Oryctolagus cuniculus: one gene and its partners. The main gene of each other region encodes a partner of the protein of the gene in region 5 in a complex. Links are inferred from orthologs where the notes say so. Each region holds a gene or a part of one and is shown on either strand. Other genes may lie near its edges.

Region 1 (3,500 bases), on a different chromosome or scaffold from region 5:
CTTCCCACACAGATCCTCTCTCTCCCCCAGGCCGGGGCTGAGCAGGGTAGCAGGCCCCACTCTGACCCTAGCCCTGTAGCACCATCTCCTGCCACAGTGACTGGGGAACCAGCTGTGAGACCAGCCAGCTGCTGCTCGCTCCTGCGCTGAGCGCGACCTGCTGCCACCCAGTAGCTGCAGGGAAACCCACCCGAGGCCGAAGCTGACCCTGGGGGAGGCCACGTGGAGACACCCGAGTCGCGGCGGCGCTGCTGAGCTGCCGGACCTCTGAACCTGAGCCACGAGCCCCTGGCAGCAGTCACCTGCAGCCCTACGTGTCCGCAGAGCTCCTCCTGTGAGCACCAGTGTGCACGCCCCGAAACTGCCCCCCGCCCCCCGCTTCCTCCCACCCACAGCAGCTGACATTCAGAGTGTGGATGCTTTTTTTGAAAAACCACAGCAGTCACTTTATTCTTAAGTTTGCACTTTACAAAACCACAAGGGAGAAGTCCTTGAGGGGGAGGGGAGGTGGGGCTTCAGGGAGGGGGATGCAGAGAAGGGGAGTAGAAAGAGCCAGAAATGAAGCCCCGCCCCTTTCCAGGGACTGAGCAGGAGCTGGGCCCGAGGCCAGCCCAGCAGGGCCTCCTGCGACCCGACCCCGTCATCCCGGCTGTAGGAGACTCCCGCAGGGCTCCATCCCCCGTCCCCAGGAGGCTGCCTGTCAGGCCCAGTGAGCAGCCCCAGGCTGCAGGGGAGGGGGGACCCAGGCTGCAGGGGAGGGGGGACCCAGGCTGCAGGGGAGGGGGGACCCAGGCTGCAGGGGAGGGGGAGACCCAGGCTGCAGGGGAGGGGGGACCCAGGCTGCAGGGGAGGGGGAGACCCAGGCTGCAGGGGAGGGGGGACCCAGGCTGCAGGGGAGGGGAGACCCAGGCTGCAGGGGAGGGGAGCCCCAGGCTGTGGGGGGGGGAGACCCAGGCGGGGCAGGCGGCCCGGGCTACCCGTCCAGCAGCTTCAGGATGCTCTCGCGCTCCTTCAACGTCTTCCAGGCCTGGTCCTTCTCCTTCTTGGTGGGGGTCCGCTTCTTCTGCCGCGCGGCCATGATCTTGCGGAAGGCGTCCATGACCTCGTTGTCGGCCATGCGAACCCGCTGCCTCAGCTCCTGGCGGCTCACCTCCTCCTTCGCCAGCCTGTGGGGACAGCCGGCCACGCGCCCATGACCACGGCAAAGGCGATGAGCCACGGTTCACTGGCACTGTGCGCTGGGCACTACTCTAAGTTCTTTCAAATATTAACTCACGTTGGCCACAGGGGGAGCTGTGCGTGGGTGTGGAAAGGCTATGTGGGAAATCTGTCCCTTCCTCTACAGTTTGCTATGAACTTCAAACCCCTCGGGAAAAATAAGTCTTTAAAAACGTATCTGCACCGGGGCTGGCGCTGACCCACAGCGGGTGAGCCTCCATTCCCAGTGGCAGCCCCACATTTTAGGGTGGTGGTTCAAGCCCTGGCTCCTCTGCTCCTGATCCAGCTCCCTGCTAATGGCCTGGGAAAAGCAGTGGGAGATGTCCCAAGTGCCTGGGTCTCTACCCCCATGGGAGACACAGATGGTGCTCCTAGCTCAGCTCGGGCCATTGCATCTCTGGGGAATAAGCCAGCAGCAGATGGAAGATCTGTCTCTCCCTCTCTCTCTCTGTAGCTGTTACTTTCATATAAATAAGTAAAACTGGCTGGGGCAGGCTGAAGCCAGGATCTTGGAACCCCATCCAGTTCCCCTACATGGGTGCAGGGGTCCAAACACTTGGGCCATCTTCCTTTGCTTTCCCAGGTGCGTTAGCCTGGAACCGAATAGAAGGCAGAGAAGCTGGGACTTGGAACCGGAGCTCAGATACTGGACGCCCCTGTAGGAAGCAGCAGCGTACCCACTGCACCGCAGCACTGGCCCCCGAGGTGTTTCCGTACTGCACGCCCTCTCCTCTCCCTCTCTCTCTTCCCTTGCTTCCTCCTTCACCTGCGTGTCTCCTCATCTCTGGGAGGAACATGGACTATAAAGAATCAGACGCTGTGCAGGGCTCGAGCCTCAGCTGGGCTGTCTGCCAGCTGTGTGGCCTCCAGCGAAGGAGGCTCCTCTACCACTTGCTGAGCACGGGGAACACCGGCACCCGGGCTGGCTGGGACTGAAGGAGTCTCCTTCCCCTTAAGCACGCCTGCAAGTCCTCTGCCTGCCTCCTCCCAGCCCCCAGCCCCCAGCCCCCAGCCCAGCGTGTGAGAGAGGAGCTGTGTGAGGCCGAGACATGGCACCTTCCTGCGAGAAGCCAGGGGCCGGGCTCCCGGCTGCTGCACTGCCTCCCAGGAGGGAGGGCAGCTCCTGGCGCCGTCTCCCTCCTGCTGCCACCTGTGTCCTCACGGGGACCCCGCGGCCCCAGGTGGCCGGGAGGTGATGAAGCGCACGGCACTGGGTGGTTTCTGGTGATGGGCCAATAAAAACCAGAGATGTCCACCAGTGTCACCGGAGCAGCCTGCGCACGGCACCCACTCTTCGAGACTTTCTGTCGCAAGTACTTTGTGACCGCACGTGGGCGTGACACCGAGCGGCACAAGGAGGCTCAGCAGAGCGGAGCACGCACGTCCTTGCTGCTACGCCCCGCGTGGAGCGACGGGCACGAGGGTCGGCCTGCCCCTCTCACCGTAAGGACCGGGGCCGCCCGTCCATCCCGGGACCTGCTGCTGCTCTCGGCTCTCCAGGGGCGCCCGCTCACCTCAGCAGGTCGTGCTTCTTGGTGCGGTTGTGCGCGCTCAGGGCCTTCAGCTCCGCCTGCCGTTTGCGCAGCTCGGCCAGGACCTCGTCCTCGGAGTCCTCCGCGGGGCGGTCCTCCGACTCCAGCAGGCCCTGGGCAATCAGCTCCTCCTTGATGCGGCTCTCCAGGGACTTGGTGTGGGGCACACTGTCGGGGAAGGACGCCAGTGCCAGCCGGGGTCTCTGCCTCGGAGGTGCCCGCCCGCGCCGTGCATCCAGACACAGAAACACGGAGACACGGGCTGCCGCCGCGGCACCAGCATCCTGTCAGCGTGCGACGGACGACCTCGCTCCGCCCGGGTCGGAGCCCCGGGCCAGCCTTCCCACCCGAGACCTCTCCCGGGCACAACTGAACTGCCCCTGGCCTGTAGGCGGGGGCCTTCCTGATGCCAACACGGACGGATGCGGGTGCCAGCTGTGGGTGTGCACAGGACGACACTCACCTGAAGGGCTTGTTCTGATTGCGGGGGGAGGTGCTGGCCCCGTCGGCCCCCGATTCCTTCGCAGACATGTCAGGAATGGGCGAGTCCTCCATGGGGGAGATGATATTTTCCTGGAAGGCAGCAGCGACAGGACAGCCTTCAGAGACCAGCAACCTGCTCTCCTTGCCTGCCCCGGCCCCGGGGCCCCGAGAGCTCCCCTCATGGACCCGGGCAGCGTCCCTCACGCCGGAAGTCCCTCGCTCTGGCAGGGACAGGGGAGCGGTGGTGACCCTCGGTGGTGGTAGGGG
Region 2 (4,209 bases), on a different chromosome or scaffold from region 5:
CAGCAGGTTAAGTTGCTGCTCGTGACACCAGCAACTCCACACGAGCCCCAGTTTGAGTCCCAGCTGCTCTGCTTCCAATCCAGCTCCCTGCTAATGAGCCCAGGAAAGCAGTGGAAGACGGCCCAGGTACCTGCCCCTGCACCCACTTGGGAAGAGACCTGGATGTGGTTCCAGGCTTCCAGCTGTAGCCGGCCCAGTCTTGGCCACTGCAGCCATTTGGGATATGAACCAATGGATGGAAGACCCCTCTCTCCACCTCTCCCTGTTTCTCTAAAACTGCCTTTCAAATAAATGAATAAATACTAAAAAAAACAAAACACAAAAAAAAAACCAACCAACCAAAAAATGGTTCAGACGGGTTACGTTTAACAAGGTAACAGCAAAAAGCAGTTGAGGTGGGGTTACAAGGCTGCCAATTCTAAAACCTACGCTCTTCCTCTGAACTCCAATTTTGCCACAACTTCAACGTGCTCAGTCCTAAAACAACTCACAGAAGTAGGAGCATTTCGTCTCTTACACACCACCCATCAACTGGTCGGTTATTGTGACTATACCAAAAGTGTCACCAGAAAAATGGTGATCACCATGGCAACTAAAAAAGAGACAGGAAAATGTGATGGTGCCTATTATGTGTCAACCTGCCTGGTGAGACACTGTTTGCAGGTGGGTCTGGGAGGGTGCCTCCAGCATGGGCATCGCCCAGCCTGCTGGTTCTCAGGCCTCTGGGCTTGCACTGGAACGGCACTGGCTTTGCTGGGCTTCGAATGCGCAGGTGTTGAGTCATGGACGGCAGCTCAGCCTCCACCGTCCTGTGACCCAGGCCATCATCACACATCTCTCTCTGTGTTAACTACAGAGAACTGTTCAGTTCTGTTTCTCTGGAGAACATTGTTAAAAAAAAAAAAAAAAATTTGTTTGCTTATCTGAAAGACAGAGTGACAGAGAGAAAGGAAAAGATAGACAGAAATCTTCCACCTGTGGTTCACTCCCCGAATGGCTGCTTTCTGGGTCTGCGCCAGGCTGAAGCCAGGAGCCGGAACTCCATCCCCGTCTTCCACGTGGGTGGGAGGGGCCCAAGCACTTGGTCCATTACCGACTGGCCTCCCAGGTGCTTTGGCAGGGAGCTGGGTGGGAAGCAGAGCAGCCAGGACTTAAACAGGCGTTCATGTGGGACGCTGCTGTTGCAAGCGGCAGCTTTACTCACTGTGCCATGTGCTGGCCCCTGGAGAACCTTGACAGATTAGAAGTAACAAGGAGGGGCCAGCGCTGTGGCGTAGTGGGCTAAGCCTCCGCCTGCAGTGGTGGCATCCTATATGGGCGCTGGTTCAAGACCCGGCTGCTCCTCTACCGATCCAGCTCTCTGCTGTGGCCTGGGAAAGCAGTAGAAGATGGCCCAAGTCCCACATGGGAGACCCAGAAGAAGCTCCTGGCTCCTGGCTCCTGGCTCCTGGCTTCAGATCAGCACAGCTCCGGCTATTGTGGCCATTTGGAGAGTGAACCAGCAATGGAAGACCTGGGACACAGTCCAGAAAGGAATACAACACAGTTCCAAAAACTTACTTGCAGGTAACACAAAGCACTAAAAGAGACAAAAAAGGACCAGGCAAGTCTGAACATACAATGATGCCAGATGTCAAAAAAACAAACCCCAGTCAGAGAGGACTCAGCCGCTGGCCAAGAGGATGCCCACAGCTACCCATCAAGTAGCGAAATTTCAAAGCCTCAATCAACATTGACTGAGATGGATGGAGGAGGAGGGGAGTTGAGACGCAAAGACACCAGGCATAGCTCAAGCTTTCCAGCCCGAGAAGCTGGAAAAACAAGACAGACGAGGGAAGGCACCGATGTGCAAAGGATAAAACTCAAAATTAGCTCTGGACACATTCCGGGAGGCCAAGCAGCCATTTCAAAGCAGGGAGCGCGCTCCGCAGGGAGTCCACGGGCTGAAGACAGGCATCCAAGAAGTTGGCAGGACCGCAGAGGGTATTTAAAGCGTCAATCGGGAATGTCTAGGGAGCGGACAGCCACAGAGAAGAGATCTGGGATGCAGCTCTGGGGTGGGACACGCATTAAAAGCAAAGGGGCGGCCAGCGGGACAAGGGGAGAGGCGTTCCCGCCACGCACGGGCGCTGCTGCTAGAGGCTCTGAGGAGGAAGCGTGCTGGCCCTGGGCGACACACCTGCGCAAACCAGGTGGTTGCAGGTGTCAGGACAGTGGACGGGCTGGCGGGTGCGCTGCCCCACCCTGGCACTGGTTCAGCAAGGATGCTGCAGTCCCGGCCGCGCCCCTCGCCTCGCCCGGCCGCACCTGGCCGAGCACCGCACCTGCGCGCGCCGCGGCTCCCCACTCTCGCGCCCCGGGGCCCGAGGGCGCACGCGCAGACCCCACGCCGCCCGGCCGCGGGCCCCGCCGCCACGGCCGCGAGCCGAACCCCGCCTCTCCCGCCCAGGGCGCGTGCGCGCCGCACCCCACCGAGCGCCCCCTCAGGCGAAGCCGGGACGGGGGACGGGGGCGCGCAGGAAGGACCCGGTGCCCTGGTTCCCGAGCCTCTCCGGCGGCCGCGGGCCTGACCCATGCCCACCTGCCGAGTCCCGGGCGAAGTAACCTCGGCGCGCTGGAAACAGCGACGGAGAAACAGGCGCGGTCCCTCGAACGCTTTTTCCGAGCCTGCGGATGCTAACGCACTCGCGTTCGAAGATTCGCGGCACGTCGAGAACCACACACGCTTTTTTTCCCTTTTATGAGCTTAGGCGAGCGCGGCGGACCCGTCTGCGCAGGCGCGACCCTCCCGCCGTGACGTGCTGCGCTGCCCCCTGGGAAATGTAGTTTTTAGTTTGACACCTGTGCCCAACTCTTAACTGAAACTTCATTTTGCAAGACTTATTTATTATTGATTTATTTTAGCGTCTTCTCAAAAAGCCTCAATTTTAAAACAAAAAGCAAAGCAATTTAAGAGTGAGCATCTTGTGGTTGGGGGGACGGCAGGATATACGGAAACTTTCTAGCTCAAATTTGCTATGATCCTAAAAATGCTCTGGAAAAATAAAGGCAGATTTTTAAAAAGCAAGGATTAATTAAAAAACATGTCGATATTTAGAGCCAGAAATCATGCTTTCAGGGAGTCTTCCCAAAGTATTAAGGATATGCACATGCAAATATTTAGTTCATCAGAAGGCGGTCATAGTATTTTGCAAACTTTATTTATTTATGTTAATTGAAAAGCAGAGAGATACAGAGATATATCCCGTCCACTGGTTCACCCGACAAATGCCAGCAATAGCCAAGGCTGGGTCAGGCTGAAATCAAGAGCCCAGAATTCAATCCAAGTCTCCCACGTGGGTGGCACAGACCTACCTACTTGAGCTGTTATCTGCTGTCTCCCCGCGTGCACATTAGCAGGAAGCTGAAAGTGAGAGCAGAGCCCAGCCAAAACCCAGGTTCTCTGATGTGGGATGTGGGCAGCCCAAGTGGCCTCTTAACTGCTCAGCCAAAACGCCTGCCCCACATTATAGCATCACAATTTTTTTTTTTTTTTTTGACAGGCAGAGTGGACAGTGAGAGAGAGACAGAGAGAAAGGTCTTCCTTTGCTGTTGGTTCACCCTCCAATGGCTGCCGCGGCCAGCACACTGCGGCCGGCGCACCGCGCTGATCCAATGGCAGGAGCCAGGTACTTATCCTGGTCTCCCATGGGGTGCAGGGCCCAAGGACTTGGGCCATCCTCCACTGCACTCCCTGGCCACAGCAGAGAGCTGGCCTGGAAGAGGGGCAACCGGGACAGAATCCGGTGTCCCGACCAGGACTAGAACCCGGTGTGCCGGCGCCGCAAGGTGGAGGATTAACCTAGTGAGCCGTGGCGCCGGCCTAGCATCACAATTTTTTACACAACCCCTAGGAAAGTATATATTTATTAATTGATTTTTTTGACAGGTAGAGTGGACAGTGAGAGAGAGAGATAGAGAGAAAGGTCTTCCTTTTCCGTTGGTTCACCCCACAATGGCCGCTGCGGCCAGTGCACTGCACTGATCCGAAGCCAGGAGCCAGGTGCTTCTCCTGGTCTCCCATGCAGGTGCAGGGCCCAAGGACTTGGGCCATCCTCCACTGCCCTCCCGGGCCACAGCAGAGAGCTGGCCTGGAAGAGGGGCAACCAGGACAGAATCCGGTGCCCCAACTGGGACTAGAACCTGGTGTGCTGGCGCCACAGGTGGAGG
Region 3 (4,145 bases), on a different chromosome or scaffold from region 5:
AATACGTTGCGTCTGACTTCCAGTTTCCGGCTTAGCCATTTCGTGACTTCTCTTAAGTTGTCTCCCATGAAAGAGAAAATAGGTGGAGGCCCTGAGAGCTTTGATCCGAATAACATCAATTACATATCTGCAAAGCTTCCTCTTCAAGACAGTGCAAGCACACGCACGTGGGGGTCTGCTTTCCCCGCTTACCACTCCTGGGCCCAGACCCTGCTCCTTTCCATGTCAATCCCAATTCGGGTAACTGGGTAGATTTCTTTTGACAATACCCGGCCCTGCTTTGTCCCCGAACGCAGCTAACTGACTGTTTCCAGGCCTGAGTCGATCTCCTCTCGCCCGGCCCTCCAGCCGGCCCTTCCCGGGTCTGGCACTGCAGCTGCAGAGCAAGCGCGTGACTGGGACCCCCGCTACAGCGAGGCGCACGCTCGCCCTGCCCCAGCCCTAGCCCCAGCCAGGGAACGGGGTCCCGGGTCCCAGCGCGTGTGTTGGGACAGCAGCGAGCGGAAGCGGCTGGCTGCGAGGACGGGCGGTTCCCGCCCACGAGGGTGGGGGAAGGGAGGTAGCCACACCCGGAAGTCGGTCTGGGAGGTGGGGGAAGCTGGGGGGAAGCGGCTTCCGGTGGCGCAAAGGGTGTCGGGAGCGGCTTCCAGCAAACCTTCTTCCCTGGGCTCAGAAGGGACCACCGTTGCCGCCGCCTCGGCTTCTACGATCTGCGTTCGAGCTAAACGGCCACGCCGGCCGCCCCTGCGGCACCCCCGGTGCCTGGCTCTGTCCGTATTCGTTCCCAGGCGTCCGCCGCGGTTCCAGTAGCGGTCGCGGCCGACATGTTGTGAGGCGGCGGCGCGGGTGTCTGAAGGATGGTTCGGCAGAGGCGGCGGCAACGGCTGCTGGCGGCGGCGGCAGCGGGGGCTCGGGCTCTGTAGAGCCGAGCCCGGTGGGTGTCCGCCCGGTCCTGCGGCGAGGCCAGTGCCCCTGGATCTTGCCTCTGCTCCAGCGCCGTTGGGGACTTGGTTAGGCGACAGCGCCCGCCCCTCTGAGAGGATACCGAAGGTGGTTCTCCAGCCAATTTCCAGACCATCGTGCTTTCTCCTCCCTAGCTTGAGCAGTGCTGTCCCCAGAACCCCCCTCTTCCTCCGACTTTCTCCCCAAACTCGCCCTAAATCACACACCAGAGGGCTCCCCGCCCTCTCGAGGGCGCGCTCCTCCCCCTTCCTCATTTTTCTACACCCTCTTCAGAGCGCCCCCCGGCATCAGGGCGGCCTTTTGACAAATTTCCGTGGAGTAGGGGACCAGGGCCGGGGAGTTTTTTTGAAAAGTCGGGGCGCGCGGGAGACAAGAAGGTACGATGGCTTCCTCGTCTGGCAACGATGATGATCTCACGATCCCTCGAGCTGCTATCAATAAGATGATCAAAGAGACTCTGCCCAATGTCCGGGTGGCCAACGATGCCCGAGAGCTGGTGGTGAACTGCTGCACTGAATTCATTCACCTTATATCTTCTGAAGCCAACGAGATTTGCAACAAATCGGAAAAGAAGACCATCTCGCCGGAGCACGTCATCCAAGGTGAGTCGCTTGAATGGGATTTGGTTTCCGTGAGGGTCCGGCGCGGGGGAAGGGGGCGCTGTTTACGGTTCGTGGGACCGGTTCGTGCCCACGCCTTCGGATCTCTTCCCCGGTGAGTGCTGTTAATGAAAAAGCCACGGGCGCCTGGGAGCAGCTGGTGCCTTAAGAACATACCTGTGTAGCTAGCATTCTTGCCATACCTTCAGCCGGCGAGTACTTGTCGGGAGAACATTTAGGTCAGCGAACATCCCTACGAGGGAAAGTGTTGGTGGGGGTCTCCATCTGCAGCCGGGGAAGCCAGAGCAACCACGATTGGCAGCCCCAAGTGGGAGTTGGAGAAGAAAGACGAGTGGGAAAGGAGCCCAGTTCTTCTCCCTTGGAAAGTTAAAGTTCAGACAGAAACTTCAGGCATGAGCGGAGTCCCAGCACAACAATGTGGACGAGAAGATGCACTTTCTGATTACATGAATAGCAGAATTCTTTACGTGAATGTTTTTAAAAGAAAAGTTAATTGGTGTTGAACAAAGGGAGTGTATTTTCTCCTTTAAAAATGGTTTGCTTGTGGTAGGTTCATCAAGTTAGTAATGCACGCCTGTTCAGTTTTCTTTAAAAAAAAAAAAGGGCGAGTGTTCTTTCTTTTTTTGTTTGTTTTTGCTTTTATGTTGCTTGCTTTATTTTTTGGGGATAGATTTTAAAAACCTGGATTGAAAGATTATATAAGAGATTTTTTTTAAATGGAACATTTCCCCGTCCTTCCCTGCTTCCATTCCCATTTGGATGTAGCACTTAAGTTTTTATTGAATAGCACTTCTGAAAGTTTCAATAGTTCCTTTTCTCCAAACTTGGAAAGGATTTAGTCCGGTATTATGGAATTGGGAGACTGGATTTTGATGGTTTTAGCGAGGGGTGGTGTACTTACAAGTCACAGTGTTTTGGAAGGCACTTTCTATGACTTGTACATGTACTCTTAATGAAAAAGTTTGAGGTGAAAACTTGTTTTTTATAATACCTAATTAAAATCTAATGATTGATTTTGAAATCAGAAAAAAATCATGGTTAATTTTAATCATTTTGACAGACAGGCAGTTGTCTACAATTTCAATTTTAGAATTTAACTTTTTAAAAGGTGACTTTAATGAAGTACAGAACATTTCTGCTTTTATTGATCATATCCAATCTTTTATTGTCAATATTGATGAAAGGATTAAATGATTCATTGTTGATTCTTTGTGATATCCTGAAGGTAGTTCTAAAACTTTTTTTTTTCCTTCATTTTATTTGAAAGACAGAAAGACAGAGATCTTTCATCGATCTGCTGGTGGTTCACTCCCCAAATGCTCCCAGCAGACCAAGGCTGTGTCAGACCAAAGCCAACTCCATCTGGGCCTCCCACATGAGTGACAGAGCTGCGCTGTGGCACAACGGGTTAAGCCACCATCTGCAGTGCTGGCATCTCGTATGGGCTACGGTTGGAGTGTTGGCTGCTCCACCTCTGTTCCACCTCCCTGCCAATGGCCTCAGAAAAGCAGTGGAAGATGGCCCAAGTGCTTGGGCCCATGTACCCACGTGGGTGGACCCAGATGAAGCTCCTGGCTCCAGGCTTTGGCCTGGCCCAGCCCTGGCCATTGTGGCCATCTGGGGAGTGAATCTTCTTTTTTTCTTTTTCTAACCTTCAAATAAATAAATATATCTTTAAAAAAATACTGGAGCCATTACCTGATGCCTCCCAGGTGCATTAGTAGGAAGCTGGATCCAAAGCAGAGAAGTCAGGACTTGAACCAAGTACTCCTTTAGGTGATGTGGGTGTCGGAAGCGGGGACCCAACTGTTTTGCCAAATGCCTGCCCTTTCAGTACATAATGAGGAAAAAAATCCCTAGGAAAAAAATCATGTTCGATTTTTAAAGCTAATATTTTTTTTTCTACCTGGTTGGTGTGCTGAATACTACAGCAAGTAGAATGAAAGCCAAGGTGTCTATTTTTCCTCTTGTGTTTTTATTTTTACAGTTGTATGCGTGATTGCTGTCGTCAGTCTTTCACAAGAGTATTCAACACAGATAGCTATAATTTTCCTTTGCAACTCATAAAAAAGGAAAAGGATCTCTTGTAAATATTGCCTTTCTAATGAAAGTTGCAAAAGATTTCAACAGGATCTGGCTAAACATTTGTTTACACTACAGAAGTAGGGGTCATTCCAAAAATCTAATAACACATTACAGTCTGTCTTGGGAGAAAGTTTGTTGTTTTCTAGGATATATTTAGATTTCTGATTGACATGATGGAGTAAAAGTGCAGCTGTAGTGTGCTAAATAGTTCAACTTTGGAATATGTTAAATTCAATTTAATGTATGAGACAGAAAGTTACAGTGAAAGCATTTTCCTTGTGTAATAAGGATGATTTATTAATTTAAAAATTATTAGCTTTTATAGTTTTATACATTTATCTTTTTATTCCTTGTGGTATTACTATTGTTAAGTGGTAAGAATCTGAAATTTTGTCCCAATTGGTGGATAAATTTTGTATGATTATAAGCTCATTGCTTAATAATTTTAAAGTAGTTTTGTTTTGAGAGGTTAAAATT
Region 4 (4,168 bases), on a different chromosome or scaffold from region 5:
GAAAACTTCTAAAACTTTCAAGTGATAATTTTTAATGTTAAGTCTAAAACATTAGCAAGCCCTTCAAACACCTTTATAAAAATCAATCTGAGAATGTTTTTGCCAAGTTTAATTAGGTTTTATGCCCTTCTAATTCAAAGATTGTGATCTGTGTGAAATTTAACCTGGGTTAAATTCCTGTTGGAATCACATAGACAGTGTTTTACTTCTTTGAAACAATTTAAGGGTTGAGCATCTTTAAAGTTACCACTCAACTGCTGCACACTTTAAAACCTGACAAATTATTTAGCAGATATGTTCCAGGACAACCACCCCAAACTCTTGGAGCTGTCGTTATAGAACCCCCAAGTCTGGGTCCCCTCCCAGGGGCAGCTGTTGCCATTTCCCTGCTGGAGCTCCCCCGGGGAATTTGGGGTGTTTTTTTATAGACTGAAATTGGAGCTGAGAGGTGCAGGGTCAGCTCATGCTCAGGTTCCCGGTTGGTCAGTGTGCTAGTGAGTTTTCTTTGATTGGTCTGTGATGCTGTGCTCCTTAGAGAATTTTTTTGATGCCCAGGTGGGCTTCTGTTGGCCTAGGAGAGGTGAAGGTGGGGCTTACAAGCAAATGGTAGTTTCCTTCTACTCCAGACCTGGAATTCCCCTAAACAACTCCTTCCAAGCAGTGCTGGCCAACAAGGGACTCCTTGAGTCCTGTGAGTGGAACTTTGTCGGGTCAGCTGTATCTCTCCCCAGTTCAGTGAATTCCTTTTGATACCCGACAGGCAAGGACACCTTGGGCTCCTGGAGACAGACAAGAGGCTGGGCCCTGTCTTTCCATTATAGGGGTTCAATCTCAGATCACAGTCAGTCAAGTCACGTCGTCCCCCCCATAGAAAAGCAAGGCATAATGGAGCACAGTGTTCTTTTACCTCCTCCTTTCCCCTGTATGAAAAATTAGTTGTGTTGACTTGTGTACGTTTTAAACAGCCCTGTAGAGTTGTGCACGTTCTATCCACTTAGAAGTTTCTTAGTGTTTAGAAACACGTGTGGCACCCACCCATTCTGACCAGCAATCTTTCTCCAAACCACGCCATACTGCCTTGTTAAAATTTCGAATGTTAACTTGGGGCCTCAAACTCTTAACATTAAAATCTAACTCTCCTCTTAACCAACACTCAGAAGAAACCTTTAAGAGTCAAAATAGGCTCCACGAGGCTGTCAGCTGACTACAACCCCAATCACCGCTCCAAATAGAGAATCTAGCCTGGCGCCAGTCAGCAGTTACCAGCTTGGCGCAAAGCTGTAGTTAACACTTGATTGGTTAACATGCCTGTCAGTCACACGGGGTAGGTGGGGCCGCAAGCCCTATCTAAACGAGACGCTTTGTTTTTACGTCATCGGGGAGCGACGAAAGCAGGAGAGGGAGGGGTGGAGTAGTGAGTGCATCTCGGCGTTGGCGGGGGCGGCTTGCGAAGGTGTCATGGCCGCTGCTACCGAGCTTAGTTACCCGAGCATCGGTGACAGGGACCTGGAACGCAGCTGCAGCCCCAGCCTCTCCCGAGAGGTGCTCTGCGAACTCTTTCGCTCTCTGCACACCCTGGCTGGACAGGTGGGTGGTGGCCCGGGGAACCGGGGCAGTGGGCCGTCCGCCCTTCCCCCACTTGTCCCTGTGGCGGAGGCCGGCCGGGGGGCAGCCGGCGGCGGCCGTGCCCGCCCTCGCTCGGTACCGGCTGCGGTCCAGATGACCACGCTGCTGTCCTCTCAGAGAGGGAGCGAGGGTGGTCCGAGGGGAAACCCAGTGGCCCGCGGAGCAGGTCTGCAGGGAATGGAAGCAGAAAAGCTTCCGTCGGGGTTTAGGGGTGCCTGCTCTCGGGGTCTTGTTCCCGGCAGCTTACTCCTTCGAGAAACTGGGTGGTCGGTCAGTACGGACTGAAGTTTTTGGAAAAGCGACCCTCTGAGTCACTTGGTTTTCTTTCTGGTTGCCCTGTGGGTGTGTGCCCATCTGTTACACTTTGCATCAGGGAGTAGAGTAAAACGGTTAATCAACTTCTAACTTAAAGTTGCTGTTTGCGGTAGAACTGCCGTCTGACGAGGTGTTCAGGAAGGAGTTTAATTGGCTCGTAAACCGCTTTTGCAGACCTACCTTATAAAATGGATTTTAAAAGGTGGGTTCTTAACACTGATAGTCAGTATTGAGATTCAAGCTGTAAACTTCGGATTGAATTTTAAACGAGGAATAGCCTTGCGGTGTGTTTGTCTGCCTCTTAGAAAGAAATAATTTCTTCCTTATCTTACGGAGACAATATTTTACTGTAACTTTGTTCTGGGACTGTTACTAGTGCATGTGGTGAAAACAGGCATTTGTGTCAAAGATAAGTTCCTATGAAATTGGAGCATTTGTCTGAATTCTGAAAATTCCCTTTTAAATCCTTGAGGGTATGGAGAGACACCTTTTTAAAAAGCTGTTGGAGTATTTTTAAAAAGCTTGGCATGTTGTGGCTTATAAAGAACATTACTGTAAGTAAGCATTCTGTTTTGTGTAATGAGGCAGTTATTAATAGAGTCTCCTAAGTGGTACACCTTGTAAACTCGGTGGGTTGCCAAGGACGTGGGTACTTCTGATGGTTATTAGAAGACCAAGGACCTTTTAAATGGTTGAAAAGTTACAGAACTTTTTATGGCTTGGACATTGGAACATTACATTTTATTCATATTCTGATATCAGGTTGAGAAAAATGTATGGTCATCCATTATTTGTAGAGTTCCTCCTGCCCCAGTGATAGGATATTTGTACAAATTCATACTGAGAGATAATTTAAACATTGCTTTTGAAATATTTGCTTGTTGAACTTTTGAAACTTTTAAAAATTTTAATTCAGATATTCTAATAGTACAAGTAGAAAATTGATTACAGTTTACTTGCGTCACCTGTCAAAAATGTTTAGGGTAAAAATTTGGTGAGGTTTTCTTGACATAGGCAAGGGACCTTCTATATAAGTATCAAAAATATGATTGCCTCTCAATTCACTGCTAACCATTTTGATGACAATCTGTAGTTTGAGATGTATTGTTTAAGAATGAAAGTCAGAGAACCATGTCCACATCAGTGTTTCCTTTTGCAATAAGTTTAAAGTTTTTTTAGCATGTATGTTGTTATATGCCCAAGTTCATACTAGATATCATCGTATTATTAACTCTCAGTTGGAAGCATAAAATTGTATGTTTTCTATTCCAGATGGCAAAATTTACTAATTTTTATCCTTAATGGGCTTATAGATGGTTCATTTTACCAAACTAAATTTAATGCTTGCTCAGATTTTCATAATTTAATAAAGTTTTACTGAAAGTACAGATTTAAATAGTCCAATTAATTGCAAACTGATAGACTTTTGACTGGTTTACTATTCCAAGTTTAAGAGAAAAATGCATAGAATTTATTACTAAAAGGGAATTTGTTGACTGAATTTTGGATAAATTGGGATAGTTTTAGAACGAATTTGCAACATTATTTTGTGGTTTTCTTAAAAGACCAAGTATCCTTAATTACCCTTAAAAGCTTCCATTATTAATTGAAATGAAGTTGTAATCCAGACATTAGGATTTATTTTCTGTAAGGTGTTTTCTCCAGAAGATGTGTTGCCTTGCCTTGGTTGAGGATTTCTTTGCTTTCTTCCAAAACCACATCCATCAATTTATTGTAACCAACTATAGATCTCTTTGAGGGCTGTAAAATTTTGGTATTGGGTTACTTCTGTACATGATAGCAGATGTCTGACAAAATTGTTAAAGTCACTATAATATTAACTAATCTTTGTGTACAGTTGTCTAATATTGGACTTTAAATGCTTCTGGTGTCATGTTCAGAGAGCGGTAAGGTTCTGTCACATGTGTTCATTCAATATGGTGTTTTTATTGGTAACCTTGAATCTGATTTCTTGCATAGTGATTCATCTTTTTGTTTTATTATAATTATAGCTCATAAGATCTGTATTTGAATTGGATGTAACACCTTTATTTATAGAAAAACGTTATTTCTGAAAAATATAGTTAAATTGATTCTTAAACACATGTTCCTAGAAAAGTTTCTGGTGATTCACTTTTCACTCAAAGATTGCAAATGGCGGTTTTCATTCTAAAGTAGATATTAGCTTTATAGATTTTTACCGTTTTCTAAATATGATTTTGTTCTG
Region 5 (4,047 bases):
ATATGGACACCAGTTCGAGTCCTAGATGCTCCACTTCTGATCAGGCTCTCTGCTATGGCCTGGGAAAGCAGTGGAAGATGGCCCAAGTCTTGGTCCCCTGCACCCACATGGGAGACCTGGAAAAAGCTCTTGGCTTCCATCTGGCCCAGCCCTGGCTGTTTCGGCCATTTAGGGAGTGAACCAGTGGATGGAGGATCTCTCTCTCTCCCTCTCTTCCCCCCCCCCCCACCTTCTCTCTCTGTAATTCTGCCTTTCAAATAAGTAAATCTTTATATAAAAAAAAATGGAGCAGCTGGGGCTTGAATCAGCACTCTGATGTGGGATGTTGGTGTTGCAAGCAATGCTTAACTTGCCAAGCTGCAACACTGACTTTGGCCTTTTTATTTTATTTTTTTTCTCTGCTAGTAGCATTCCTTTTCCCTCCCTCCTTTTCTCTGTTATATAATTATTAATTTTGTATAATTTTTACCATTTCACTTTTCTGACTAGAAAAGCTGATTCTTGTATTAATTGTTCAGACTAATATTTTTTCTTCTGGTGTTTATTATTCAAGCTAGGATGATTGCTAAGGGAAAAGTAGTTCATAGTATTACTGTAGCAACTCACCAAGTTTTAAATATATCATATATTGGTTAAACTTTTTAAATGCAACATAGTGCCAGTTTTTTCTTTTTTGTTATTCCCACTAAATTTTCTGTACTAGGTCTTCAGGAATTTCTTTAAAAGTGGTACAAAGTCATTTCAGTAATAAAATAGCACACCACCAAATTTATTTGGTGGTTTATTACATTTTACATTTGTACAGAAAGTTAAAATAGTAATTGGGTATCTGTTTTAAGCGTATTTTGGTAACACTGTTATTTGGATTTGAAAGGCACCAGGGTGGGAACACCTGTTCGGGGTGTTACTGAAATCTGTTTCCTACGTTTTTAGAGGCTTCGTGACGGAGTGATCCGAGACATCGAGAGGCAAAATCGGAAAAAAGAAAACATTCGTCTTTTGGGAGAACAGATTATTTTGACTGAGCAACTTGAAGCAGAAAGAGAGAAGATTTTACTGGAAAAAGGCTCTCAGAAAACATGATTTGAAATGACGGTGAACTGTTGGAAGGACAGCGTGCAGTGTGTGTGTGTTGATGGAGAATAGCTTAAGGACCTTTTTTTGGTCATTGTCCTTGTAAACTTATCAAATAGAGGATAATGGATCATATAATCTACAGTGCTGCTGTAAAAATTCCTTCTGTCTGAATGAAGAAGCCGTGGGCGGGTGCCCTCCTGAGGAGCTTCTGTCTCTGTGGGAGCGCATGTCAGCTCAGCGCTCAGAGCGTAGGATTGGCGCTGAGAAGCACTCCTGAACCTGTGAGAAGGAAGGAATGGATAGCAGCATCCACCTGAGTAGTCTGATAAGTCGACACGACGATGAAGCCACGAGGACGTCCACCTCGGAGGGGCTGGAGGAGGGGGAAGTGGAGGGGGAGACGCTCCTGATTGTCGAATCAGAGGATCAGGCATCTGTGGACCTGTCTCATGACCAGAGTGGGGATTCCCTCAACAGCGACGAAGGAGATGTGTCCTGGATGGAGGAGCAGCTGTCCTACTTCTGCGACAAGTGCCAGAAATGGATACCAGCCAGTAAGGAGCTTCTCCATTGCTTTGATTTGTCAATTCCGGTGTGAGGGTTTCTTTTTCCAGGATAGGAAAGAAACATGAATGTAAGATAGACCTAAATGAAAGGATAATTATCATATTATTTAGTTTATTAACCACAAACTTACATAAAACGAAGGTGCTCTTGAATTAATAAAAGTTATTATCAACCTCTTTCACATGGTTAAATTAGTACTCTTAATAGTAAACCAGTAAAAATTGGAAAATTGTAAATCCTGTGTTAATGAATTAGCCACATTTTTCTAACATTTGTGACCAAATCTAATCCCATTGTAGATTTCTTTGTTTTTTGTTTAAAGATTTATTTTATTTTGAAAGAGCTACAGAGAGGGTGGGCTAGCACTGTGGCTCACTTGGTTAATCCTCCGCCTGTGGCACCGGCATCCCATATGGGCATCGGGTTCTAGTCCCAGTTGCTCCTCTTCTAGTCCAGCTCTCTGCTGTGGCCCAGGAAGGCAGTGGAGGATGGCCCAAGTGCTTGGGCCCTGCACCCGCATGGGAGACCAGGAAGAAGCACCTGGTTCCTGGCTTCAGATCAGCGCAGTTCTGGCCGCAGCGACCATTTGGGGGGGGTAAATCAACGGAAGGAAGACCTTTCTCTCTGTCTCTCTCTCTCTCACTGTCTATAACTCTACCTGTCAAATAAAGAAAAAAAAAGAAGTAAATCAAAATGATCTGCAGGAAGAGTCAAAGACTATGAGGAAGGGGTAGGGGTGGAGGGGAGATTTGTCAGAAACAAAAGAAAGTGAAGGGAGGGGGGCTTGGTGTCGAGAACCCCTCACGTAGGAGGCACCAAAACACCAGCACTGTGGTGCTGAGCTCAGAAGGAACTCGGAGCCAGTCCATCAGAGCCCCCTGTCTGCCCAAGACGCGCCACACACTGGCCCCGGATTTACTCGGGCAGTAGACACACTAGAAGATGTCCAAAAACAAGGTCTCAGCGTCTCCTCCATGTGCTCTGCCTGCTCCTGGGTGCACTGTCTATAACTCTACCTGTCAAATTAAAAAAAAAAAAAAAAAAAAAGCTACAGAGAGGGAAAGAGAGCGCTCTTCCATCTGCTGGTTCACTCCTCGGATGGCCACAACCATGAGGGCTGGGCCAGACTGAAGCTGGGAGCCAGGAGCTTCCTCTGCTTTCCCACGTCGGTTGCAGGGACCCAGACACTTGAGCCATCTTTGCTGCTTTTCTCAGGCCATTAGCAGGGAACTGTGTCAGAAGTAGAGCAATTGTTAGAAGAACTGGTGCCCATTTGGGATGCCAGCCTTGAAGGTGGCGGCTTTACCAGCTGCACCACAACACATTATAGATTAAAGTTCAAGTTCTTGAAAAGTACCCTGTTAATATTTAACTATGTGGAAAATGACTGCTGTTTGCTACAGCTCAGCATGAGCAGGTTAAAGATGCTTGTGCCCCTTTCCTGGGGTGGTCTTGTTTCTCACCTTCTGGCCTGCCCCCATCTGCCAGCACACGTATTCCCAGGTTGCTTCATTCTGAGCTTTGCCAGCCATCATGTGATTCGTACCCAACAGGACTGGGCCATTAGGCAAGGGCTTGAAGAGCTGTAGGTACTGGAGGAATGCTTTTGCAATAGAATTCATAACAGACAAATTTATATGTATGAAGGGTCTTTGAACAGTTATGGAAAACTCATATTATGGAAAAGCTGTACCTGGATCTCAAAACTGTTTTGCACCCAAATAAACTTATCTTTTAATTCCATTTTCCCCGAGCTTTCTGAAGTACCCTTGTGCATGATTGTGAAGTGGGCCATTTTCTGGGATTTGGAAATGTTTTTGTTAAAATGGGTTCAGCTATTCCGATTAATAGTTGCCATTTGTAAGTTAATGATGGCATTTTCACAGAAAACATGCCTGGAATGTGCTGCTTACTACTGGCTGTTGCTTCTGAGCTGTCCCTAGCGATTCAGGGTTCTGCTGAGCGGCTTTCCCTGTCCTTGCAGGATCAGTGCCTCGCTGCTCTCATGGTCAGGCCCCTGCTATCGCCCTTGGTTCCTCCATCCCCACACAGAGAGAGAGAGCTTTGGGAGAGCTTTCTTGTGCCGAGGATGTGGCCTGTCCTGTGTCTCCTCTGCAGTCTGTGTGCCCTCCCCTGCATGCACAGGCTCGCCCCTTCACCGGGCCAGCTTCGAGTTCTCCCTCACGTGCCCCTGGGACCCAGCCCTCTCTTTCTAGCTCCCCTGTCTTCTTATTGGGTTGGACACCCTGTATTGTGCCCTCACACTGCCCTGTGGTTGCATCACACTCCACTCCCGTGTCTTCATGTCACCTGGGGACTGTTAGGCCGAGGGCCGGGCGCCACTCCAGAGATGGATTCTTTTTGTCTGGGGTAGATCCAGGCACGTTTAGAGAAGCAGAAAGC
Region 6 (4,085 bases), on a different chromosome or scaffold from region 5:
AGTTGGCCCCGTAGATCTCCTCCTCCAGCATGGACAGGAACCTGGGGGGAGGGCGCCGTCTGTCCACGACTCCGCCCTCCCGCCAAAGGCGGCCTGGGCCGGGCCCCCGGGGGGCTGCGGCTGTGCCGTGGCCAGAGACAGACCCTGCGAGGCGCGTCTGAGAGCAAGCTCTGCCCTGCGGGAAGCCCTGGCCACAGGGGCAGGCACGGCCCCCTGGCTCCCGGGAGCCTCGAATGCAAGGTGAGAGCTTCGGACACACCAAGCAAAGGGGCCCAGTTTGGCCATCTCGGGCAGCACAGGGCCACAGGGCCCGAGCTAAATACCAACCCCGTAGCCAGGCAGGGCACCACGTCCCCCTGGGTCCCCCTGCTCCCCGCAGCATCAAGATGACTAGGAATCCACCCCAACTCACCACCTCCTGTTCCCACCTGGTGGCAGGGGCACTCAGGGGCCCGGATTTGACAGCCAAGGCTCTCTGAACAGAGAAGTCACGAGCCAGGCTTAAGATGGGAGAGAGGTGTGGCACACGGGGGGACACTGGCACAGAAAGGACTAGCGCGGGGCGGACACTGCTGTCACCTCAGGTGTCAGCGCTGGCTTCTTGGAGCTCTGTGGTGGGAGGGATTCTGAGGCTGGGTCCAGGCCCCCATGGGAAACAATTAGTAACGCCTAGCAGGGTGTGGGAGGGGCAGCGTTAGCCGGGGCCATGTACCTGCCATCCCCAGACTAGGCCGTGCAAAGGCAACTACTAGCAAGCTGCTTCTGGGCCATGGGCAAGTCTGCCAGGTAGACGCCCAGATCCCAGAAGGCCCATGGAGGGAGAGGAGGGACCAATCCAGGAAGGCTTCCTGGAAAAAAGGGGACAACAGGGAGGACGTGAACTTGGGGCAAACTCGCAGTGGGCCGGAACGAGCCTTACTTGGGGAAGTGGGTGAGGATGAGGGTCCTCTTCTCCGGCACCAGCTTGTCTTTCTCCACTCGGAACTTCTCCAGCAGCTGCCGCCGGGTAACAGTGAAAATGGACCGGAGGAGGCTTCGCCCGAACACGTGAGTGGTCTCGTAGCGAGGCAGGCTGTCGCAGCTCTGGGGCACGTGACAGTAACACAGCCACCTGGGGGTGGGGACAGCAGGGTGAGAGCACATGGGGAGGTCTACAAATCCCCCCCCAGCCCCCGCCCGGGCAGGGCCTACCTGGTGTAATTGACCTTGTAGGTAGCCACATCCTCCGACTGGGACCTTTGCCGGAACTGGGCGGGCGTCTCCAGCTTCCAGTAGTTAAGGCAAAGCAGGAACATCTTGGAGAGTTCGAACATGGTCTGTCGCTCCCGGGGAGCCAGGTGGCTAAACTTGTACTGCACGAAGTTCAGCACACCCTGGGAAGGGGTGGGGTGGGGAACAAATCCAGGGAGGAGGGCTAAGAAGCCAGCTTCGTGACAAAGTGCCCCCCCTCCTCCACCCCACTCTGCAGTCAGCACAGAACACACGCCCCCGGCTGATCCCCTCTGATTTTCAGCTAGAGCAGGAGGGAGGACCCAGCTCCCCGTGCCCCACCCCACCTGCTCAATATTAGGCTTCTCAAACGGGGGGCTGCCCAGGGACCCCTCCACCACAGGCCGGGTCATCTGCAGGATGCATTTGCGCAGGAGCTGCAGGAAGAGGGAGGGAGGGAGGGAGGGAGCATCAGAACTGAGAGCCCCCCTGCCCCCCACTCACGCCCGTTCGCGGAAGCTCACCTTGAAGAGGTAGAAGTAGACCTGTTTGGTGTCCGTGTCCTCCTCCTTGTGCACCGACATGAACAGATTCTCCACATCCACCACCATCCCCAGCAGCCGGTTGATCTCATCCTCTGACACATTCTCCAGGTGGGACACGTGGTCAGCTGCAAGACAGCCAGCCCGGGCCGCGGGGTGGGGAGGCATGGACGCCCTGCTCGGCAGGGAGCCAAGACTTCCAAAGGTGGCCCCGCATCTTCCCGGCTGGCACTTTCCCTTTCTCCTCCCTCTCGGCCTGCCTGCCCCCAACCCCACACCTCCTAAGGTCCTGAGACGAGGTTTCCTGGCAGCGAAATCAGGCTGTCCAAGCAGGCCCCAGCACCTGGCGCCCACCACCTGCAAGGGCGCTGCCTGCCTTACCCAAGGGGTGCTCACAGCTGCGGCACAGCTCGCTCAGGTTGGCAGCAGGCTGCTGCAGGTCCATGCGGGGAGCAGTAGGGGGCTTGGGGTTTTTCCAGCCATTACATTTGCAGGTTTCATTGGCCTGGAGGCAGGAGATAAGTCAACGACCCCCGCACCCCAGGGGCAGGGGCCGCTAAGCGTCCAGAGCGTCGCCCCCCATTCCCACCCGAGCCCAGGGATGCCCTCAAGCCCCGCCCCTTTCACCCTAGGCCCCGCCCCCACCTTGCAAGCGGAGAAGACCCCTAGCTTCTCAAGCTTCTTGGCGCGCGGCAGTCCCCGGACTTGCGCCTTCCTCTGGCTGGCGCGCTGCTGCTGGCTCAGGCCAGGTCGCGCCGGATCCCCCCCGCTGCCGGTTCCCCCACTTCCTACCCCGGGCCCTCCAGTCCCTGTGCTCCCGGCTGGGGCTGCAGCCGGGGCGGGGGCTGGTGCCGGAGTGGGAGCCGGAGTCGGGGCTGAAGCAGGGCTGGGCGCAGGAGTAGGAGTTGGGGTAGGGGCTGGGGACTGAAGGGGCCGGGGCTGCGCAGCCGGGACTGGGGCCGGGGCCTGAGAAGGTTCCGCCATGGCCTCCCCCGCAGCGGAGCGGCGCCGCGCTCCCAGCCCTAGGGCCGCATGGGCAACCGGTGCGCAGTGCGCAGGCGCCACAGGCCCGACGCACGACGGGAGTTGTAGTCTTCCACCGCCGCGCCCCTGGCCTCCAGCTTCCAGACTTTTCCGTCCTTTCTCTTGGTACCAGGCAGCCAAGGGGAGCCCCAGCTAGCACCCCAGACTTCCTGGCTCCCAATTTATCTGGAAGGCGTCCGGGACGGCTCCGGTTGCTGCCGTCTTAGGGACAGGGAGGTGCATCCCAGGAAATAGGCGCCCCCCACGGGGGCCGAGGCCCCATCCCGTGAGGCCCAGACGCGGGGCTGCAGCCGCACAGGGGCTGAGACGTGGCCGAAGCTCTGAGCTTCGGTGGCTACCCCGGGCGTGCGCTGTGTACCATCCACCTGTACTGCGTTGTGCACTTTGTTATCCTTCAACGGAGAGAATTTAGTATCAAAACACAGAGTTCCAGGGGCGCGGCTGTGGTCGCAGCAGCGACAAGGAAAACCACTGGGACGCGGGATGCCCGCGCCATCATCTTTGTGGCCCCAGACCCCGAGGACAGGGAGGGATGTGCCCGCCTCCCTCGTGCGTGTGCTCAGGGAGAAGCAGGGCACGCCGCGATGGAGGACCTGGAGGACCCCGCCCGCTGTCTCTGCCAGCAATGGGCTTCCCTGCCCCTGGCCGGTCGGTGGCTGCCGAGTGTCTGCTCCCGGCGTCCAGCCTCTTCAGTGGCTCCATTGTGCCGTGGTGGAGAAAGGGCAGGGCCAGGGTAAAAGTATAGCGGGTGCTCCTGAGCAACTGACAGCCCGCTCCTGGAGGCAGGACGGGCAGAGCTGACCCCGGACCCAGCCGAAGTTTGCGGAAGTCAAAGGGAATGAGCTGCCCCCGCCTGACCCGACCCGACCCAACCCGACCCGGGGGAGCCGCGCGGGGCCTCGTGAGGACCCCGCTCCCGTTTCCTTGGAGTCCACACGCCTGGCCGAGCTCGGGCCTTGCGTTCGGAGCCTCGTGCCCCTGAAGAGCAGTTGCTCACTTGGATGCAGCGGGTCGGCAGCAGTTTCTCCAACGGGAACCAGGTGGCGTCGAGGAGTCCCAGTGTGGCCCTCGCTGAACGCAATCAGGTGGCCACACTGCCGGTGCAGCTGCTGAGGGACCACCCGGCCGCTGTGCAGGACCATGGCCGGGCCGCAGACGATTTCCAAATGAAGATGGACGCGCAGGGCTTCGCCCCCGAGGAGCTGGTGGTGCAGGTGACTGGGCAGAACCTGACGGTGACCGGCCAGCGGCAGTGGGAGTACGGCAACCCGGGACTGGGTGGTTACCGCA
Region 7 (3,500 bases), on a different chromosome or scaffold from region 5:
CATACTTACTACAAAAATTGGTAATGCCCGCTGTCCTATATTCCTGGAGTCTCTTGATTTCTCTTCGGAGCTCAAATTCCACTGTTTTCCCCAAGAAGAAGAAAAATTGAAAAAAATAACCAATATGAATGAGCACTTCTGCTATGTGTTTTCAGTCATTCTGCTTTGGAAAAGGTTGGGCAATTTCACTTGGGGAATCCTATCTGCTGATAACTTCTCATTAGAAATTTTACCTAAGAGCTGAGAAAACCTCTTCTGGCTGCTGTCTCTAAGAGACAGATGGCTTGTTTCCTACAAAACTTACAGCGAACTGATTGAACTCATCTGTCTACCAGAGCTACCGATATAACCTGAAACAGTATTCAAAATGACAGAGAAATATCTTCCATCCCGGCTTTACTCTCCAAACGCCTACAACAGCCAGCTGGGCCAGGCTGAAGTCTGGAGCCTGGAACTCTACCTGGGTCTCCCAGGGGTGGCAGGGACCCAAGTCCCCGAGCTACCATCTGCGTCCTCCTGTGGTGCACATTAGCAGGAAGCTGGACTGGACGCAGAGGAACCAGCACTCAAACCAGGCAGGCGTCCCAAGCAGTGACAGCCGCCTGTCCCGTGAATGTCATCTTTTAAGTCCCCGAGTTTTTCCTGCTCTACCTATCTTCTGTTGAAAGTTCTACTCACTTGACTGAGATTTTATGAGATCTCTGGGATTACTTAATGTGGCCCTTGCACAAGGGAAGGACAAAAGCTCTGTATGTGAGCCCCAGTTAGTTTCTTCAGAGCTCTTCTCCTGTAGTGACAAAAGAGCATTGTGTTTTCCACAAACCAAAAGGTTCTGCCTCCTCTGAACACAGGTCATGTTGCTATGATATGATACAACACTCACATGTGGGTGCTTTTGAAGCAGAGGACAAAGGAGAGCCTAGGCACCTATGGGGTGTGGTTTTCTGAAGTGACACATAAAATGGGACAGGAAGTAAACGATCAGGCATTCAGTACAAATGACATCAAGAACGCCAACCAAAGAAGGTGTTGGTGAGGACAATCAACTTGGCTCAGACAAATGCTTGCAATGTTACACAAGAAGTAGCTGCAAGAGGACAAAATGGAGAGCCTTGGAAGAGAACCTTTCAAGACTAAAGCTTGAATCCTCCGCCTTGCGGCGCCGGCACACCGGGTTCTAGTCCCAGTCGGGGCGCCGGATTCTGTCCCGGTTGCCCCTCTTCCAGGCCAGCTCTCTGCTGTGGCCAGGGAGTGCAGTGGAGGATGGCCCAAGTCCTTGGGCCTTGCACCCCATGGGAGACCAGGAGAAGCACCTGGCTCCTGCCTTCGAATAGGCACGGTGCGCTGGCCACAGCGGCCATTGGAGGGTGAACCAACGGCAAAAGGAAGACCTTTCTCTCTGTCTCTCTCTCTCACTGTCCACTCTGCCTGTCAAAAAAAAAAAAAAAAAAAAAAAAAAAACAAACAAACTAAAGCTTGGGAACCAAATACACAAACTCCTGATGAACGATACAGACTAAGCCTCCTAACTGAGTTGGTCTGAAAGGTCTTGATCCCTTAACCACTTTGGTTTTTTATTGTTGAAAATGAAATGGTAACTGGGCAGAGCTCTCTTAGGGGTACGAAAGGCAAGAGAATGAATGATGAAGGTACTATTCCTATGAGTTACCTAATTCTGTTCCCATTTTAAAACCTAGTTTCAATACAGAAACATGGAGTTCGTTATATTACCTCTACTTTTCTATTCTCTTGTCGTATTCCCACAGTCTCACATTTATCTCATAGTAATAAGAAGGAACAAAGAGAAATATCTATTTATTTACAGAACTCCACACAAAACACACCCTCTATTTATATAAACACACACACATACACACACACAGATACCAGCTCAACAAGGCTCTAAAACCACCTACGTGCGTGGCTTTCAATGAATTTGTCATGTTCCACTGGTCCCACAATCCTTGCAAATCGCCTCATTGTTTCATAAAGGTCTTGGACCTCCTTGGGATACCGCCGTTCCATTACTATAGAGAAAATAAAACACAAGTGTGTCGTGGAGAACGTGAGGATCCTGACATTTTCTGCATTTAAAAAAAATAAAAAGTCAAATGGAAGGATATTAGTCCTAACCTCACATGACTAACGTACCCAGGACAGGAAGCAAACAGAAAGCCAAGAATGCCAAAACGCTACTCCTAACAGTCACAGCATCACAGCAGCTACCACACAAAGGGCTTGTTATCGCTAGACCATCTCCACTCTCACACTTCACTGTTAGGGCAGGAACTGCTGGCAAGGGGGGCTGGAGCGATAACATAAAGGCAGATTTTGCATTCTTAGAAACAATGCTAGCCAAATTTATGCAATTAGGAATCTGCAAACACAATAGCCCACTAGAGGAGCTATATGGGCTGGGAAAAAGTGTGTGCTCTCTTGTATACCCTACCTGGAATGTTCTCCTTACCTACACATCCTCAAATGAGGAATTTTTCTTCATCCCCCCTGCAGACCATTTTGCCTTTCTCTAAATGAAATTAAGCACTGCAATGTAATTCACTACTAATGATGCTATATTGTGACCACTAAGGCCCAAGTAAATGGTCACACATGCAGGGTAACCAGGGCCAACAACTCTCAGGACCACTTCTGACCAAACTTCTTACCAAAAGAGGTTTCTGCCAAGGTGAGGGGCGACTGCCAACAGCTGGAAGGTCAGCATAGCCAGGATATCTCGAGCTGCTATTTGATCTCAATTAGATAATCAACAGGGCAATGGACTTTAGTCTTGGACTAAAGATACAGGCTTTCACTGATGACAGTTATCTAAATTAATCCGCTTTCCAGATCCATCGTTTTGTTCCCTTGCAGGAGACATTCCTATTTTTTTAAAAAAGATTTATTTATCTATTTGAAAGACAGAGTTACAGAAAGGCAGAGGCAGAGCCAGAGAGAGAGAGAGAGGTCTTCCATCTGCTGGTCAGTCCCCAAATGGCCACAACAACCAGAGCTGGGCGGATCTGAAGCCAGGAGCCAGGAGCTTCTTTCAGGTCTCCCACGTGGGTGCAGAGGCCCAAAGACTTGGGCCATCTTCTACTGTTTTCCCAGGCCATAGCAGAGAGCTGGATCGGAAGTGGAGCACCCGGGACTCGAATCAGAGCCCATATGGGATGCTGGCACTGCAGGCGGTGGCTTTACCCACAATGCCACAGCCCCAGCCCCATAGGGGACATTTTTATCCACAAATACCAAAAATGAATTTGATGAGGAGCCACAGTCTGGTTATTTTGACTTCAAAAATAGTCCTCACTAAGGGGATACCACAGAAGAATTTGGAGTACAATTTTAAAAATTTGAAGAAAAAAAGAAAAACCCACCTACCATACTACAGTCACTAGTTCATTCAGTATAGTGGCAACTGAATATCACTGAAAACAAAATGCACTTGGCATTTCTACATTCTGAGAGGTAACAGGGCTTCTCCTCAGCCCTGCATCTGG

Evidence for each region.
Region 1: KAT14 (region 5) and TADA3 share a complex: the UniProt entries of both Homo sapiens proteins name them as parts of the ADA2A-containing complex. The link is inferred for Oryctolagus cuniculus from reciprocal best matches to the Homo sapiens genes KAT14 and TADA3.
Region 2: KAT14 (region 5) and SGF29 share a complex: the UniProt entries of both Homo sapiens proteins name them as parts of the ADA2A-containing complex. The link is inferred for Oryctolagus cuniculus from reciprocal best matches to the Homo sapiens genes KAT14 and SGF29.
Region 3: KAT14 (region 5) and DR1 share a complex: the UniProt entries of both Homo sapiens proteins name them as parts of the ADA2A-containing complex. The link is inferred for Oryctolagus cuniculus from reciprocal best matches to the Homo sapiens genes KAT14 and DR1.
Region 4: KAT14 (region 5) and MBIP share a complex: the UniProt entries of both Homo sapiens proteins name them as parts of the ADA2A-containing complex. The link is inferred for Oryctolagus cuniculus from reciprocal best matches to the Homo sapiens genes KAT14 and MBIP.
Region 6: KAT14 (region 5) and KAT2A share a complex: the UniProt entries of both Homo sapiens proteins name them as parts of the ADA2A-containing complex. The link is inferred for Oryctolagus cuniculus from reciprocal best matches to the Homo sapiens genes KAT14 and KAT2A.
Region 7: KAT14 (region 5) and TADA2A share a complex: the UniProt entries of both Homo sapiens proteins name them as parts of the ADA2A-containing complex. The link is inferred for Oryctolagus cuniculus from reciprocal best matches to the Homo sapiens genes KAT14 and TADA2A.

What each region holds. Positions count from the first base shown.
Region 1 is NC_091441.1:116,929,346-116,932,845, reverse strand, and holds the end of TADA3 (transcriptional adapter 3), read right to left. Parts: exon of another isoform or gene 3,324-3,500; coding exon 3,214-3,323; exon of another isoform or gene 2,919-3,213; coding exon 2,733-2,918; exon of another isoform or gene 1,802-2,732; intron 1,167-1,801; coding exon 974-1,166; 3' UTR 421-973; downstream 1-420. UniProt on the Homo sapiens protein: Functions as a component of the PCAF complex. The PCAF complex is capable of efficiently acetylating histones in a nucleosomal context. The PCAF complex could be considered as the human version of the yeast SAGA complex.
Region 2 is NC_091450.1:7,541,753-7,545,961, forward strand, and holds the start of SGF29 (SAGA-associated factor 29), read right to left. Parts: upstream 2,801-4,209; 5' UTR 2,582-2,800; intron 1,371-2,581; exon of another isoform or gene 1,205-1,370; intron 88-1,204; exon of another isoform or gene 1-87. UniProt on the Homo sapiens protein: Chromatin reader component of some histone acetyltransferase (HAT) SAGA-type complexes like the TFTC-HAT, ATAC or STAGA complexes.
Region 3 is NC_091438.1:77,320,208-77,324,352, reverse strand, and holds the start of DR1 (protein Dr1), read left to right. Parts: upstream 1-1,345; coding exon 1,346-1,565; intron 1,566-4,145. UniProt on the Homo sapiens protein: The association of the DR1/DRAP1 heterodimer with TBP results in a functional repression of both activated and basal transcription of class II genes.
Region 4 is NC_091443.1:39,322,967-39,327,134, forward strand, and holds the start of MBIP (MAP3K12-binding inhibitory protein 1), read left to right. Parts: upstream 1-1,368; 5' UTR 1,369-1,458; coding exon 1,459-1,587; intron 1,588-4,168. UniProt on the Homo sapiens protein: Inhibits the MAP3K12 activity to induce the activation of the JNK/SAPK pathway. Component of the ATAC complex, a complex with histone acetyltransferase activity on histones H3 and H4.
Region 5 is NC_091442.1:43,070,543-43,074,589, forward strand, and holds the start of KAT14 (cysteine-rich protein 2-binding protein), read left to right. Parts: upstream 1-1,247; 5' UTR 1,248-1,372; coding exon 1,373-1,631; intron 1,632-4,047. Other genes in the region: protein PET117 homolog, mitochondrial, read left to right, coding at 934-1,083. UniProt on the Homo sapiens protein: Component of the ATAC complex, a complex with histone acetyltransferase activity on histones H3 and H4. May function as a scaffold for the ATAC complex to promote ATAC complex stability. Has also weak histone acetyltransferase activity toward histone H4.
Region 6 is NC_091448.1:20,670,861-20,674,945, reverse strand, and holds the start of KAT2A (histone acetyltransferase KAT2A), read right to left. Parts: upstream 2,801-4,085; 5' UTR 2,736-2,800; coding exon 2,397-2,735; intron 2,257-2,396; coding exon 2,133-2,256; intron 1,880-2,132; coding exon 1,734-1,879; intron 1,647-1,733; coding exon 1,557-1,646; intron 1,374-1,556; coding exon 1,192-1,373; intron 1,112-1,191; coding exon 920-1,111; intron 42-919; coding exon 1-41. Other genes in the region: HSPB9 (heat shock protein beta-9), read left to right, coding at 3,797-4,085. UniProt on the Homo sapiens protein: Protein lysine acyltransferase that can act as a acetyltransferase, glutaryltransferase, succinyltransferase or malonyltransferase, depending on the context.
Region 7 is NC_091448.1:38,175,175-38,178,674, reverse strand, and holds part of TADA2A (transcriptional adapter 2-alpha), read right to left. Parts: intron 2,028-3,500; coding exon 1,917-2,027; intron 82-1,916; coding exon 10-81; intron 1-9. UniProt on the Homo sapiens protein: Component of the ATAC complex, a complex with histone acetyltransferase activity on histones H3 and H4. Required for the function of some acidic activation domains, which activate transcription from a distant site. Binds double-stranded DNA.